Linked DNA regions of Canis lupus familiaris. The protein of the gene in region 2 interacts with the protein of the main gene of each other region in a pairwise test. Links are inferred from orthologs where the notes say so. Each region holds a gene or a part of one and is shown on either strand. Other genes may lie near its edges.

Region 1 (4,251 bases), on a different chromosome or scaffold from region 2:
TATAGAGGCCAGGGTGCACCTATAAGCACCCAACTGGCAGCCCTAGAGGCCAGGCTCCTGCTGCTAATTGTCTCGGTCCCCTTCACTGGCCTGCTAACTGTCCCTTGATTTAATTCAGGCACCTCAGAGCCTTTGCACTGGCTGTTTTCTGTTTACAGGCTGTCTTTCCCAGAACTTCCCTTTTCTGAACAGCACTCCTTTCTTTTTCTCTTGCACTTGTCATCCCTCATTTTTTTTCCCACAGCAGCTAACTGCCCCGTGACATGCACATCACTTGCTTGCCACCTATCTCCCTGACTAGAACATCAGTCCAGGAGGACAGGGATCCTGGCCTATCTAGTCTACAGTTGTTGCCCTGGCACATGGCGTAGGCTTAGCACAGGTCTGTATGGCAAGCCCGAGTGCCACCCTCACTAGGAACCGGCTACTGTGTCCCCACTCACCATGAGGTTGGCATTGGCGATGTGGTGCTTGACCACACCCCCGCCCAGGATGATCATCCCAGTGCGCTTGGCAAAGATGGCCTGTGTGTTGATGAGTCGCAGGTCTGGGAGAAGAGCATTGTGGTCAGGCAGTGGACACAGCCACCCTACCTCCCCTGCTCCTCTGTGGCCCTAGCACCTCACCCTCAACAATGTCCAGGACCAGGCCTGGGTTCTTGTAGGAATGGAAGAAGATCATGTCGCCCAAGGAGCCATCTGTGAGCGCTGGGCTCAACACGGGGATGTGGTTCTAGGGAACAGCAAGATGAGAGCAACAAGCTCAGAGCCCAGCAGAGGCAGACTGGCCCCCATCCCAGTGGCATCCCCTCCTCTCTGCCTGATTCTAGGCAGGATGCTTACTAAGTTCTCTAGGCCTTAGCTTCTTCAACTGTAAAATGGAGACTGCAACAGCATCTCCATCACAGATGAAGCATATGTGATGAAACCAGACAAAACCAGTGGAGAATGGTAGCTCTCATTACTCCCACTGCTGGACCGCAGCGTCAGACAAACTAACATCTGTGTTGGCTTCCTCACCTAAGAGTGGAGATGATGAAATGGTTCTCCAGGTGGCTATGAAGGTGAAACAAGCTAACATGTGCCAAGGCCTGGTACCCTTGCCCTACCTAGTCCCTCACCTTCTGGGCCCAGTAATACACTGATTCTGGGTTGTTGATCTCCTTGCCCAGTCGGGCAATCATCTTGGAAGGTGTCCACTTCACACCCTAGGAGGAGACATTGACTTCAGCCAGCAGGGCCGCCTCAGTTCCACACCGACCCCCAGGGTGCTCCTGCCCCACCTCTGTGTTCTGCTCCAGCACCATTTGGTCCAGAATGGGCATCAACCAGTCCTCAAACTTGCAGTAATTGTCATTGGGCACCAGTAGGTTTCCAATCCTGCGGAACATGAGGCATGTGGGCATCGGGCCCCAGGATCCTCAGCCCAGCTCCCTTGCCCAGCATCACTCAGGGCCCCGAACCTGTTGATCCCGTTCTCACGTAGCTCCTTCCCCCTGAGACTGAAATCGCCCAGGTACGTGGGTGCCAGGCACTTGATAAAATCTTCCTCCACACCGCCAGCTGTGGTCACTAAGACGTCCACCTGCAGCCACAAATCAGGTTGGCCCAGGAAGAGGGGCCCTGCCGTCATGCCAGGTAGGGCTCCTCATTCCCAACACTAATCCAGTGACCCTTGGGAAAATCTCTACTGCAAAATAAAAGTAGATCCTGTTCCTCCGCTTAAAACAATCCTGTCTCCCTGTCATTTAAGTGGCCAATAATTTTTATTGCCCATAAGACCTAGAGAGGCCAAGTCCACAACCCCGCCAGGTACCCACCATGTTGTGCTGCACGAGGTAACGGATGGTCTCACGGATGCCTGAACTGATGAGATTGGATGTGTAGCCCAGAAAAATGGTGCAGCCAGTAAGTGGGCGGCGGCTCTGGGTCAGGTCTGCATGCTGGTCTTCATCCTGCGACAGCGGCTCTAGTTTCTTCTCTATCTAGGTGTAAGGGCAGAGTCAAGTTACCCTCTGGCCCCAAACTCTAGCCCGAGGGCTCCAAGTGGGTTTCAGGATCAGACTCCAGCCCCGGGGCCTGCCCACTCAGGAATAAGGAAACACTTCTACTTGGAATACCTGAAGCCAAGGAACGAACGCCCCCTGCGCAGGCTCGGCCCCATTCACCGCCCAAATCTCAAGGCACGCGCTCAGGTTTTATTCCCCTTTCAAGGAACTGGAGAGCACTACCTCTGCAGGCCTGGTCACTTTCCCCTTTGGAAAAAGCAAATCTGAGCCCAGACCCCGCCCTGACTGAGGCTCCTCCTCAACCGCACCGTTCAGAACACTTCACTCCTTACCTACAACCCGCCTCCTATCTAGCATCAGTCCCAACCTCATCCTGATGGTAGGATGCTATGGAGATGGGGAGGCACAAGGTCCTCTCCCCAGCACGGAAACCGCTGCCCAGAATGGACCCTGCCTCTCTCCACCTATTGGGCCGCCCGACAAAGGGCACGCCTCCTTCTCAAGGGAGCCCCGCCCCCCAGTACCGCATTGCCGCTACTGGAGGCCACACCCCCTCAACCCAGGAAGTTCCGCCCCAGGCTTCACCATGGCGTTGACTTGCTGCACTGCGCGCCCGAAGTTGGTGGCCTGGAAGCCAGTGGTGCCGAAGGCCTCCAGTAGCGCACGGTAGTCCACGCCGCGGCTGAAGTCGTAGCCTCGGACTTGGGAGCTCTCGGAGGGCAGCGCCGAGCTATGCTTCAGCACAGCGGCCAGCGCCGCCGCGGGTGCCTTCCCTTCCGGAAGACCCTCCATGCTCCCGCGGCCGCACTCTCAGATCACAGCCGCCCAGACCAGGCCTCCAGCGGCCTCGAAACGCACTAAGCCCCGGCACGCGCTTCTATATGACAGTGCAGGAAGTAGGGCTCTGGAAAACCTGCAGAAGGGGACGGGAAGTTGCTCAGTCACGTGACTCTTTGAGCCCCACAATCCAGGGCGCGGCCATGTTTGCGCATGCGTTTCCGTAATATGGAAGCCGCGAGGAGCCGTTATTGCCTGTTTCGCGTCTTGTCAGCCCGAGATGAATGAAGAGTCCTGCTTTCACTGCCGCCTGCTGGAGACCCACCGCGTTGCGCGGCGCTTTCCCATTCGTTTCTGTCCCTTTGGGAAGGAGGATGGCTTCTTAGACGTCGCCCTAGGACAGGATTCGAGTCATCAGGAAATGTCAGATAATTTCTGGCCCTGAGCGTCTCTCATCAAATGGTGTAGTGATCGCTGTCCGTACCAGAGCCTCCACATGCTGCGTAACCCTCTGGTCTTCCCCTGGTAGTTGCGGCCGTCACTTCTGGGAAGCCTTCCCTGACCGTCCTCTGGGTAAGGGACCTCCTCTGGGATCCAGGGCTGACCTCTCTTTCCCTCCAGCAAGACTGTGAGACCCTCGAAGGTGAGGTCTGTATCTCATGGGTCCTCCTAGCCCTGCATAGGGTTTGGTCCAGGGGGAATCTTTTAACCAGGCACTTTATAATTTATGGAGTCTATACCATACGTTGGGCTCTGTGTTTGGCGACTCAGATTTATCAGTGAACAAGATGCAGACCCTGCCCTCCTGGAGTCCATAGTTTGATTGGGGAGCTAGTAAAGCTAACCACAATAGTGATTAGTGCTATTGAGGATTCAAACATGATGTGTTTTTGAGGTAGGGGTGGTTGAAGGGGTTGATGGCCTTATTTGCAGGGACAGGTGGTTAGGGAAGGACACCAAGGAGGTGACATTTGAGCCAAGGCCAGAAAGCCAAGAAAGGCCCCATATGTGCAGATTTGGGGAGGCCTTTCCCCCACCATCCCCCAATGGGAAAGAGAACTGCCAGTGCAAAAGTCCTGAGGTCAGAGATTAGCCCACTTAACTGGAGGAAGAGAACATCCTCCCTGACATTTTTGACAGTCCCCACTTGGATCTCAAACTCACCACCTCAGCTCCCACTCCACTTAACGCTGATCTCCCTGCAGTCTTCCACATCTCATCAAAAAGCCCTCAACTCAGCAAATAAGCCCTCCATGCACCTAGTAGACCCAACACTGGAGAACTGAGCTTGACCTCTCTCCTTTGTTCTCACCCATCCCTCAGCACCTCCGCCAAGTTCTGCCCACAAAATAGGTCCCAATTCCAGGTGCCTTTTTATTATTATTGAGATAAAATTAACATATTCTATTAGTTTTAGATGTACAACATTCTGATTGGGTATTTGTATCCAGATGCTTCTCTCCATT
Region 2 (4,212 bases):
AAGACTCAGTGAGGTGACCCATGGAAACCAGCCGGCCCAGTCCAGAGCCTAGCATGTTGTAAGTGCTCAGCAAACATGAACTAGTGTTGCTATGATAAATGCCTAAGCCACATGGCTGTTGAGAGGGTTAAATGAGATAGTGTGAACACCATCTGGCATGCAATAAATGTTTGCTTAAAAATAAATGCCTGCCTTATGGGGAATGGTTTGGGCAAGACAAATGAGGAGAAACTCCCAACAGCATGCTCCTCCTCAAAGAGTGCCTGGCCATACATCAGAAGATGGAAGAGTAAATGTCCTTTGGTATTTTAAGAGAAAACAAAGATTAAACATACGTTAAGTAAATAAATAAATAAATAAATAAATGCCATTTGGTTGCTCTCTGAAAGAATAAGTCAGGGCTGTCTTTTAGAATCAGCCTTGAAAGAGCCTTCTGAAGACACCTGGGCCGATTATGCTGTTTGAGAGGTGAGGAGGCCCAGCAAGATGCAGTGACTTGCTTAAGGTCACACAGCAAGCTAGTGGCGAGTGTGGAGATTTCCTGCCCACAGCTTGTGGTGGGGGCTGCAGACAGTGCAGCACAAATCCCCACATTTGGGTGGAGAACTGGGACTGGCTGGGGGTGGGTAGGGTGGGGAGAGGTGATGGGTGCTATAAGCTGCTAACAACAGGGCCTGACAGGAAGTGGACGACAAGCTAGGGAAGCAATGTGGGGGGGGGAGGGCAACAAAGACAAGGCTGTCCCTCCCTGGGCGAAGTGCAAGTCCACAGGTGACTGGGGTGAGGCTCTGAGCAGGAAATGTCAGAGAAAGGACAGTTCTCATCTGGGGGAGGTTAGGAGGCAGCAACAGCAGCACCTGATTTGGGGCTTTCTGAGCCTCAGTTTTCTCATCTTTGAAATGGAGCTGATGAGACCCATCTCATACAGCAGCTGGGAGGTAGAATAAGAAGTGTCAAAGCATTTGGCGTGCACTGCACCTCACTCATAGTAGGCCCTTCAGAACGGGCAGTTTTCTTCCTTCCTGCCTTCCTTCCAGTCTGCAGACCCAGAGAGGAAAGAATCATCATCTGTTAAACAAGAACTGTCTGTGGGCAGAGGCTGGGTCACGTCACAGAAATGCAGATGTCAAAAGACAAAGCTCCCATAGAGCCCAACTCTCACCCTCCCCCCAAATGAGGCACAGCATGGAGCACAGACTTGCCCAAGGCCACACAGCCTGGTTACAGCAGGCCAGGATTCACCTCAGGCCTCCCAGTCCTCTTACACTCTGTGGTCTCTTTTCTGCTGGAAAGTTTCATTTGCTGGGTTTGTTTTGGAGTGTGGCAGGAAAGAAGGAAACAGAAAGAAAGCCAACGTTCTCCCAGCCCGGCTCTGAGGCTATGCCTAGCCAGCCATCTGGCCAAGGTGAAGGATACACATCCCTCATGGCGTCCAGGGTGGGCGCCCGCAGAATGTCCCGAATGCCAATGACGTTCTCATGGCGGAAGCGCAGCAAGATCTGGATCTCCCTCAGTGTGCGCTGGCAGTAGGTCTGATGCTCAAAGGGGCTGATTTTCTTGATGGCCACGCGAACCTTGCGCACGTGGTCGTAAGCTGAGCTGAGAGGGTCAGAGAGATGTTGTTGGTGTGGCCTTACATAGGGGGAGTCCAGGCCTGGTGGCCCTACCCAGGCCTGAGCAGGGAGGGGAGGGAGCATGAGAGGACTCTGGCCAAGTCATAAACAATGCTGGTTCCTTCCTGCTGTGAAGGCCTGGGATCTCCAGGGAGAAAGCTGGGGACCAGCCAGGCAGCCCTTCGGTGACTTCACAAACAGAGGAAGAGACTGACCGTTCACTGACTTCCCCTCTCCTCAGCCCTGTCCATTCTAGTTGCCCTGACCTCTCATCCTCCCCTCTCCAGGCTGGGCTCCTTCAACCCAAGACAGGTCCAGGGAGTGGGAGGTGAGTGCAGGACGCACAGTGAGGCACAGTGAGAAGGAGGCGGTCAGGAGGGATGGGAAAGAAGGGATGAGGTGTTAGGGTCAGGCACCTGGGCAGGAGAGCTGTTCCCAGATGAACAAAGGCCCAGAGCACACAGTGGGGACGAGAGAGCTAACAGACCCCTTCTAAAAGTTGCAAGAACGCACCCCTGGACCCCTCATGGGTCACCGGGCTCCTGGCCCCAGGCCCAAAGCCCTGCCCCACCCTGCCCAGCCCTGAGCTCTGCTCTCCCCAGCTCCTTGGCAGGCCTCACTGGGAGAATCCAAGGCATCCTTTCCCCAGAGTAGGGTCCTTCACTCGGTCCTCACTGATATCACCTCCCCAAGAATACTTCGTGTCTCCGCCTCCTCCCGCGTCCACAGAGTCCCCAGGGTCCCCCCACGGCTCCCCCGCGGACACTCCGATGCCCCTCCCTTCACTACAGAATGGTCGCTCCTGAGGCCTCCCAAGCCCCCTCCCCTTAGAACGTAGGCGGCGCCGCTCCCCCAGAGCACCCCAGGGCCGCGCCGTGGGACGCCCCGCCGGCCTCGTGAAGCCCCCGCCTCCTCGGGACCCTGGGAGCGCCCCGGCCCGAGGGCACTCACCCTCGCGCGCGCCCCCCCACGAGCCCCCTCCTCCGGAACGCCCCCTCACCTGACCATGCCGTACGCGCCCTCGCCGATGTAGTGCAGCTCCGTGTAGCGCGGGCCCACGTCGAACGGCTGCCCCTTCACCACCTCCACCTCCCCCGAGACCCCCGGGCCGACCCCATCGGCTCCCCGGGGCTCCCCGCCCCCGCCCCCCTGAGCCGCCGCCGCCGCCGCCATCTCCACTCCTCCCCTCCCGCCTCCCCGCCTCCCCCCGGCGGCCCCGCCCGAGGCCCCGCCCCTTCCCGCCCGCCCCGCGCCCCGCGCCCCGCGCCCCGCCGCCGGCTGAGCCGCGTGCGCCAGGCCCCGCCCCCGCGCGCCCCCGCGCGCCCCCGCGCGCCCCACGTGACCCCCGCGCGCTCCCGGGCGCCCTCGGCTGCTGCCCGGGTCCCCGGTGCCCGGCCGCTCCGTCTGCTGCTGGCAGCCCGTAGGGACGAGCGCGGCGGCCGGGAGACGGTGCACCCCTCCCGCCGAATGCAGGCTATAGCCGGCAGGGCCGCCAGGTGACCTTCCCGGAGCCACCCAGCAAGCGGGTGCGGGAGCTGGGGCCGGGACCGAGTCGCCTGGCCCCGCCAGCTCTGCTGCCAACCGAGTCGCGGCCCGGGGCTCGAGATGGAGCCCCAAGGGGGCCCTCCCCAGCCCTCTGGAGTGTGGCCTCCGAGCGAGGCTCGGCCCGACGACACACGGCCGCATCCGCATTTCCCAGTAGCGTGGGAGATGGCTTCTTCGCAGATACGGCCTGCCTTTCACAGATGAGGGGCCGAGGCTGGTGACTTGGAGCCACCGAGAACCCGCAGGTCCAGACTCAGCCTAATGGGTTTCTGACAGGCCTGCGAGAGTGGACTAGGGGCTTGGCCTCTTGCCAGCGACAGTACAGTGCTGGAAGTGAGCACCCATAACCTCAGCCCATTTAGGTGGAACTGCAACAGAAGGGCGGGAAAGCTGCCTGCAGTGTTGACCAGGTTTGGTTAAAATACACTATCAGGCTTCTCTCAAAAAACAGCAAAATAGGTGACGATTTTGTTGTCATTGGACTTGGTGAAACTGGAATCCTGGCAGGATCACCATCTTTTGATGGGATGCAAGATTTTGTAGTTTACACCATACTTGGACCAGCTGGGTTTCTTCCATAGGACAACCGCACATTATAGGTGTCCTCCGATTTTCTTAACAGGATGAGCAGGGGCCATGTCTGTCTTGCTCATTACTGTATCCTCCCCTGTACCTGACGCTCAGACGTTCAAAGATTTTTGACTGGATAAATCAAATTGTATGGATGGGGAGTTGAGACTTAAAATGATATCTTTTGACACAGAGGCAGAGGCTCTTTTCAATTCCATTCAATCTCCCAGAATCAGAGCCTGTTAAAACCCAGGAAAGGGCCCTCCGAGGCCATCCAGTCCATTCCCCTCACTTCACAGAGAAGCTGTGAGCTGGACGCTTCACAAAACACATCTCCTAGCCTTCAGTAAGTAACCACGTTGGGTTTTGTTTGTTTGTTTGTTTTATAATCCCTTAGAAGCTAAGAGTAGATCCTTATGTGCATTACAGATCAAGAGACCAAATGGAACAGTAATTATGATTCTGAAATTGCTCATAATTAGAT
Region 3 (4,017 bases), on a different chromosome or scaffold from region 2:
TCCCCAAATCTCTTGTCAAGGTTCCCATTTCTGAGAAAACCAGTCTACAGGCCCCCAAATACCCTCTACGCCAGGAGAGGCTTTCAGCAGAGCTTCACTGAGGAATTTAGGGAAGATTAAAGCTCTCATCTTCAATGAAAACAACAGGGAAGTTTGCTGGAGGTTAACTTGCCAGAGAATAAATGCAAGTGCTGCGCACTGAGTTCTAGACCCCCCGCCCCCCCAAAAGGTGCCCATCAGCAGCTCAAGGCAGCCCAGCTTGCAGGAGCTGTAAAGCACGTGCCCTGGGCCCAACACTCACCCAGAACACACGTGGTGGCCGGTCCACGGGCTTCCTAGGTCGCAGGGGAACTGCTGCTGCTGTGACAGGTCGCGGGTGAGGGGTGCTGGCCCAGCCCCAGGGGACTGGACACCGGGCCACCCTGCTCCCCGCAATGGAAGTCCCAGGGGGGCATCTGCTCTGCTGGGGCTCAGGGGTGAGGAGGGGTGGGGCTGGGGGCAGCGAGGCCTCATCGGACTAAGTCCAAACCACACAAACCCCCATATGGGTTTTTTGGTCCAGAGAATGTGACCCAGACAGGCACACCTTAAACTAACCCGCACTCGGTAACGGCCAGCATCCAGAAGTTTCCTCTCCCCCGAGATCCCCACACTCTACTTGGAGCTTGCGGCTCCCCTGGAATCCACCTAAGGCCACCTGAAGGCCACCACCGTCCTCCAGCACCTAGTGCTCGCCCCTAGGTGCCCTCTTGTGGGTCACAGGCCTCATCAACCGTGCAGCAGGGTGGGGCTTGGCCCGGGAGGCGGGAGGCACCCGGCGCCCGTGCTAGGGCCCAGGCTAGGGCCGCAGTGCCCGAGGTGCTGCGCGGGGACGGGCCGGCCAGGCAGGTGGCGCCCGGGGGTGACCCCACCCGAGAAGCCACCAGGCAGGGAAGCGGGGGGGCCTGAGTCAGCGCCCAGCCCCGGAGCAGCCCCGGGGAAAGGGGGGTCCCCCGCAGCCGCCCAGGGCGCCCCTGCCAAGGCCGCTGGCTCCCCAAGACGAAGCCAAAGTGAAGCCGGGACAGCGCGGCGGCCCCGCCCTGCGAGTGCGGAAACTTGGGTAAATGGAACTTGGAGCTCAGCACCCCGCAGCCGCCCCAGGCCGCGGTCACCCCGCTACGGCTCCGCGGCACTTGGGCGTCCCCACGACCCGCGCCGTCCAGTTGCTCCCCAAGGACCCGCGTCTCCCTCCCCGGGCGCCGCGCCCCTGCCCCGCCTCTGGGTCCCCGCCTGGAGGGAGCCTCAGGGTGCGCGGGGCCCTGCGCACCTTCAGGGGGAGGAGGAGGGAGGGGGAGAGGGACAGGGAGGGGAGAGGGGCAGGGAGGGAGGGGGGAGAGGGAAGGAGAGAGGGGGAGAGGAGGAGAGGAGGGGGAGAGGGAGGGAGAGAGAGACAGGGAGGGAGGGAGGGAGGGAGGGAGGGAGGGAGGGAGGAGGAGGGGGGAGGGACAGGGAGGGACCTGGAGGGGGGGAGAGAGGGGGAGAGGGGGAGAGGGAGGGAGGGCGAGGGGGGAGAGGGACAGGGAGGGACCTGGAGAGGGAGGGAGGGGGAGAGAGGGAGAGAGGGGGAGGGAGGGGGAGGGGGCCGGGCTGCCTGTCGCGCAGATGCGGCTGGAGGCGCGTCCACACACTCGCGGCTCCCGCTGGCGCGCCGGGTCCGGCCACACCACAGGCGGGCGCACACACGCGCACACACGCGCACACACGCGCACATGGACACACACATGCACACACGCACATGCACTGACACACGCGCACACGCAGCCCTCCCTGTCGGGCTCTGCCGCTCCGCCGGCCACAGGAGGCCGAGAGTCCCGTCGGCGTGGAGCCCGGACTGGGGGCCCCGCGCTGCCCGAGCCCCGCGCCCCGAGAGGCGCTTCTTCGGCGGCTTCGGGGGTCGGGGCCGGGGGTCGGGGTCCGCGGTCCGCAGCCCGGGCCGGCGCGGTCCGCGCGGTGCACCCACGGCCCCCGAGCCCGCGCCCGGCCCCAGGCGCTCTCCGGGGGGACGCGCGGGGCCTCGCCGCTCTCCCCGCGCCCCGCGCCCCGCGCCCCGCGCCCCGGGGGTGGCGCCCTGACCCCTGCGCTGCCCCTCCCGGCCGGGAGACCCGGATCGCGCCCCGGGGCCGGCGCGTGTGTCCAGCAGCTGCGCCGCCGAGCGTCAGGGCCCCCGGAGTTTGCAAGTATCCCGGGGACGCGGGGGCGCTCCGCTCGGTGCCCGGCGCCGCGGCGACCAGACCCCGGCACAGGACCCGCCTGCCCCCGGCCCCGGCCCCCGGCCCCCGAGCCCCGGCCCCCCGGCCCCGCCGCCGGGCGCAGACAGCAGCCGCACGCGCGCCGGAGCCCGCGGACCACCGGCCGCCCCCGCCCCGGGCTTCCCCGGAGCGCCCCGACGCCGCCCCCCCGCCCGCTCCCCCGGCCGCCGCTCCCCTCCGTGGCTCCGGGCTCCGGGGCGCAGCCGGGTCCCCGCAGCCGCAGCCGCAGCCCCGCCGCCCGCCCGCAGCGCCGCGCACCAACTCCGCGCCCCGCGCCCCGCGCCCCGCGCCCGGCCCCGGGGACGCCGAGTCCTCCGGCCGCTCAGCAGCCGCGGGCGCGGGGCCGGGCGCGGGGAGAAGAAAGGAAGGACCCTTACCGGCGGCTCGCGGGGGCGCGCTGAGCAGGGTCGCGGCGAGGAGCACAAAAGCCAGCCCGGGGGCCCGGACGCGGCCGGCGCTCGTCTCCATGCTTCAGCCACAGCTTCGGGGCCGAGGTCCGGGGCCGCGGCGGCGCTCACACTCATGCACCCGGCCCCGCGCGCACACATGCACACTCGCGCCGAGCCCCTCGGCCGCCGCCGCCTCCTCCTCCTCCTCCTCCTCCTCCTCCTCCTCCTCCTCCTCCTCCACCGCCCCTGCGCCTCCTCTGCCTCCTCGCGCGTCCGCCCGCAGGCTCAGCAGCCGGAGCGCGCAGCCAAAAGTTGCATCCGGTGCCGAGGCGCCGAGCTCGGTGCAGCCTCGGAAAGTCCCTGGGGAGCCGGCGCGGGGCTGCGGGTCCGGGGGTGTGCGCGGGGGCGAGGCCGCCCGGTCCGCCGCGAAGTTTCCGGGGAAGGACCGGCCCGGGCGCCCCCGAGAGCCCGGGCCCGAGCGCCGAGAGGCGGGTGGCTCACTGGCCGCGGGGCCGCCGAGCCCGAGGAGCGCGGGGCTGCCGGGGAGGCGGGGCCGGGGGGGGCGCGGCCCGCAGCTGCCGCGCGCGCGGGTGTCGGCGAGCAGGGATGCCCTCTGTGGGCCGCGCGCGGGAAGGGAAGCACCTGCGGCCGCCCAGCCCCGGGGCCCCAGCGCCCGCCGCCCCCGCGGAGCCCGTGCTGCGCCCGGGAGGCCCGGCAGGTGCAGGGGGGCCCGGGGGGTGCAGGGGGCCCGGGGTCCTGGGGGGCCCTGCGCCCTCCTCTGCCCGCCCGCCTTCCGCGCAAGAGAATCCTTCCAGCTGCAAAGAATCCCCAACCCCAGCTCCCCATCCCCGGGACACGGGGGGAAACTGAGGCTCCGGAGCACGCAGACGGGGCCCGGCCACGACCGCTGGGGCCTCCCGGGTCTCCCCGACCCTCGCCCGTGGGCTCGGCTGGGCGCCCCCCAAGCTCCCTGGAGGCCCCTGTCCCCCAGGGCTGTCGGTCCCCTTGGAAGAGGGACAGAAACAGGTAATTGCAAGAGCCCTACGATGGGCCACCTGACCGGGCGGGGGTGCCCTCCCCGGAAATGGTTTCAAGCCCACGGCCTTGGCGCATCTGCGCTCCCTTGCAGGGCCTCAAGCCCGTGGCTCCCTCACCACGAGTGTGCAATGCCACACACCACACTCGCTCACGGGCTTTTGCTGAATAAGTGAACTTACAAATGAATGAATTCGCTGAGGAAGGATGAGGAGAGAAACGCATCCCCGGTAAAGCTCAGCTACAGGTTCTCCCCAGTCCCAGGTCTCCCCAGGACTCCTGAGGACCCCCACATCTCCCAAAAG

What was found. The genes of interacting proteins can lie anywhere in the genome.
Region 1: the proteins of MAPK3 (region 2) and DHPS interact in binary tests that used the Homo sapiens proteins (3 or more experiments, as listed by UniProt). The link is inferred for Canis lupus familiaris from reciprocal best matches to the Homo sapiens genes MAPK3 and DHPS.
Region 3: the proteins of MAPK3 (region 2) and DCC interact in a two-hybrid assay, tested with the Homo sapiens proteins (2 studies listed by BioGRID). The link is inferred for Canis lupus familiaris from reciprocal best matches to the Homo sapiens genes MAPK3 and DCC.

The regions. Positions count from the first base shown.
Region 1 is NC_049241.1:49,833,041-49,837,291, reverse strand, and holds the start of DHPS (deoxyhypusine synthase), read right to left. Parts: upstream 2,801-4,251; coding exon 2,594-2,800; exon of another isoform or gene 2,552-2,593; intron 2,494-2,551; exon of another isoform or gene 2,381-2,493; coding exon of another isoform or gene 2,341-2,380; intron 2,255-2,340; exon of another isoform or gene 2,120-2,254; intron 1,985-2,119; coding exon 1,820-1,984; intron 1,585-1,819; coding exon 1,463-1,584; intron 1,380-1,462; coding exon 1,283-1,379; intron 1,208-1,282; coding exon 1,121-1,207; intron 733-1,120; coding exon 627-732; intron 548-626; coding exon 444-547; coding exon of another isoform or gene 426-443; intron 1-425. UniProt on the Homo sapiens protein: Catalyzes the NAD-dependent oxidative cleavage of spermidine and the subsequent transfer of the butylamine moiety of spermidine to the epsilon-amino group of a critical lysine residue of the eIF-5A precursor protein to form the intermediate deoxyhypusine residue.
Region 2 is NC_049227.1:18,278,803-18,283,014, forward strand, and holds the start of MAPK3 (mitogen-activated protein kinase 3), read right to left. Parts: upstream 2,801-4,212; 5' UTR 2,787-2,800; coding exon 2,614-2,786; intron 1,600-2,613; coding exon 1,417-1,599; intron 1-1,416.
Region 3 is NC_049222.1:22,991,098-22,995,114, forward strand, and holds the start of DCC (netrin receptor DCC), read right to left. Parts: upstream 2,801-4,017; 5' UTR 2,757-2,800; coding exon 2,666-2,756; intron 1-2,665. UniProt on the Homo sapiens protein: Receptor for netrin required for axon guidance. Mediates axon attraction of neuronal growth cones in the developing nervous system upon ligand binding. Its association with UNC5 proteins may trigger signaling for axon repulsion.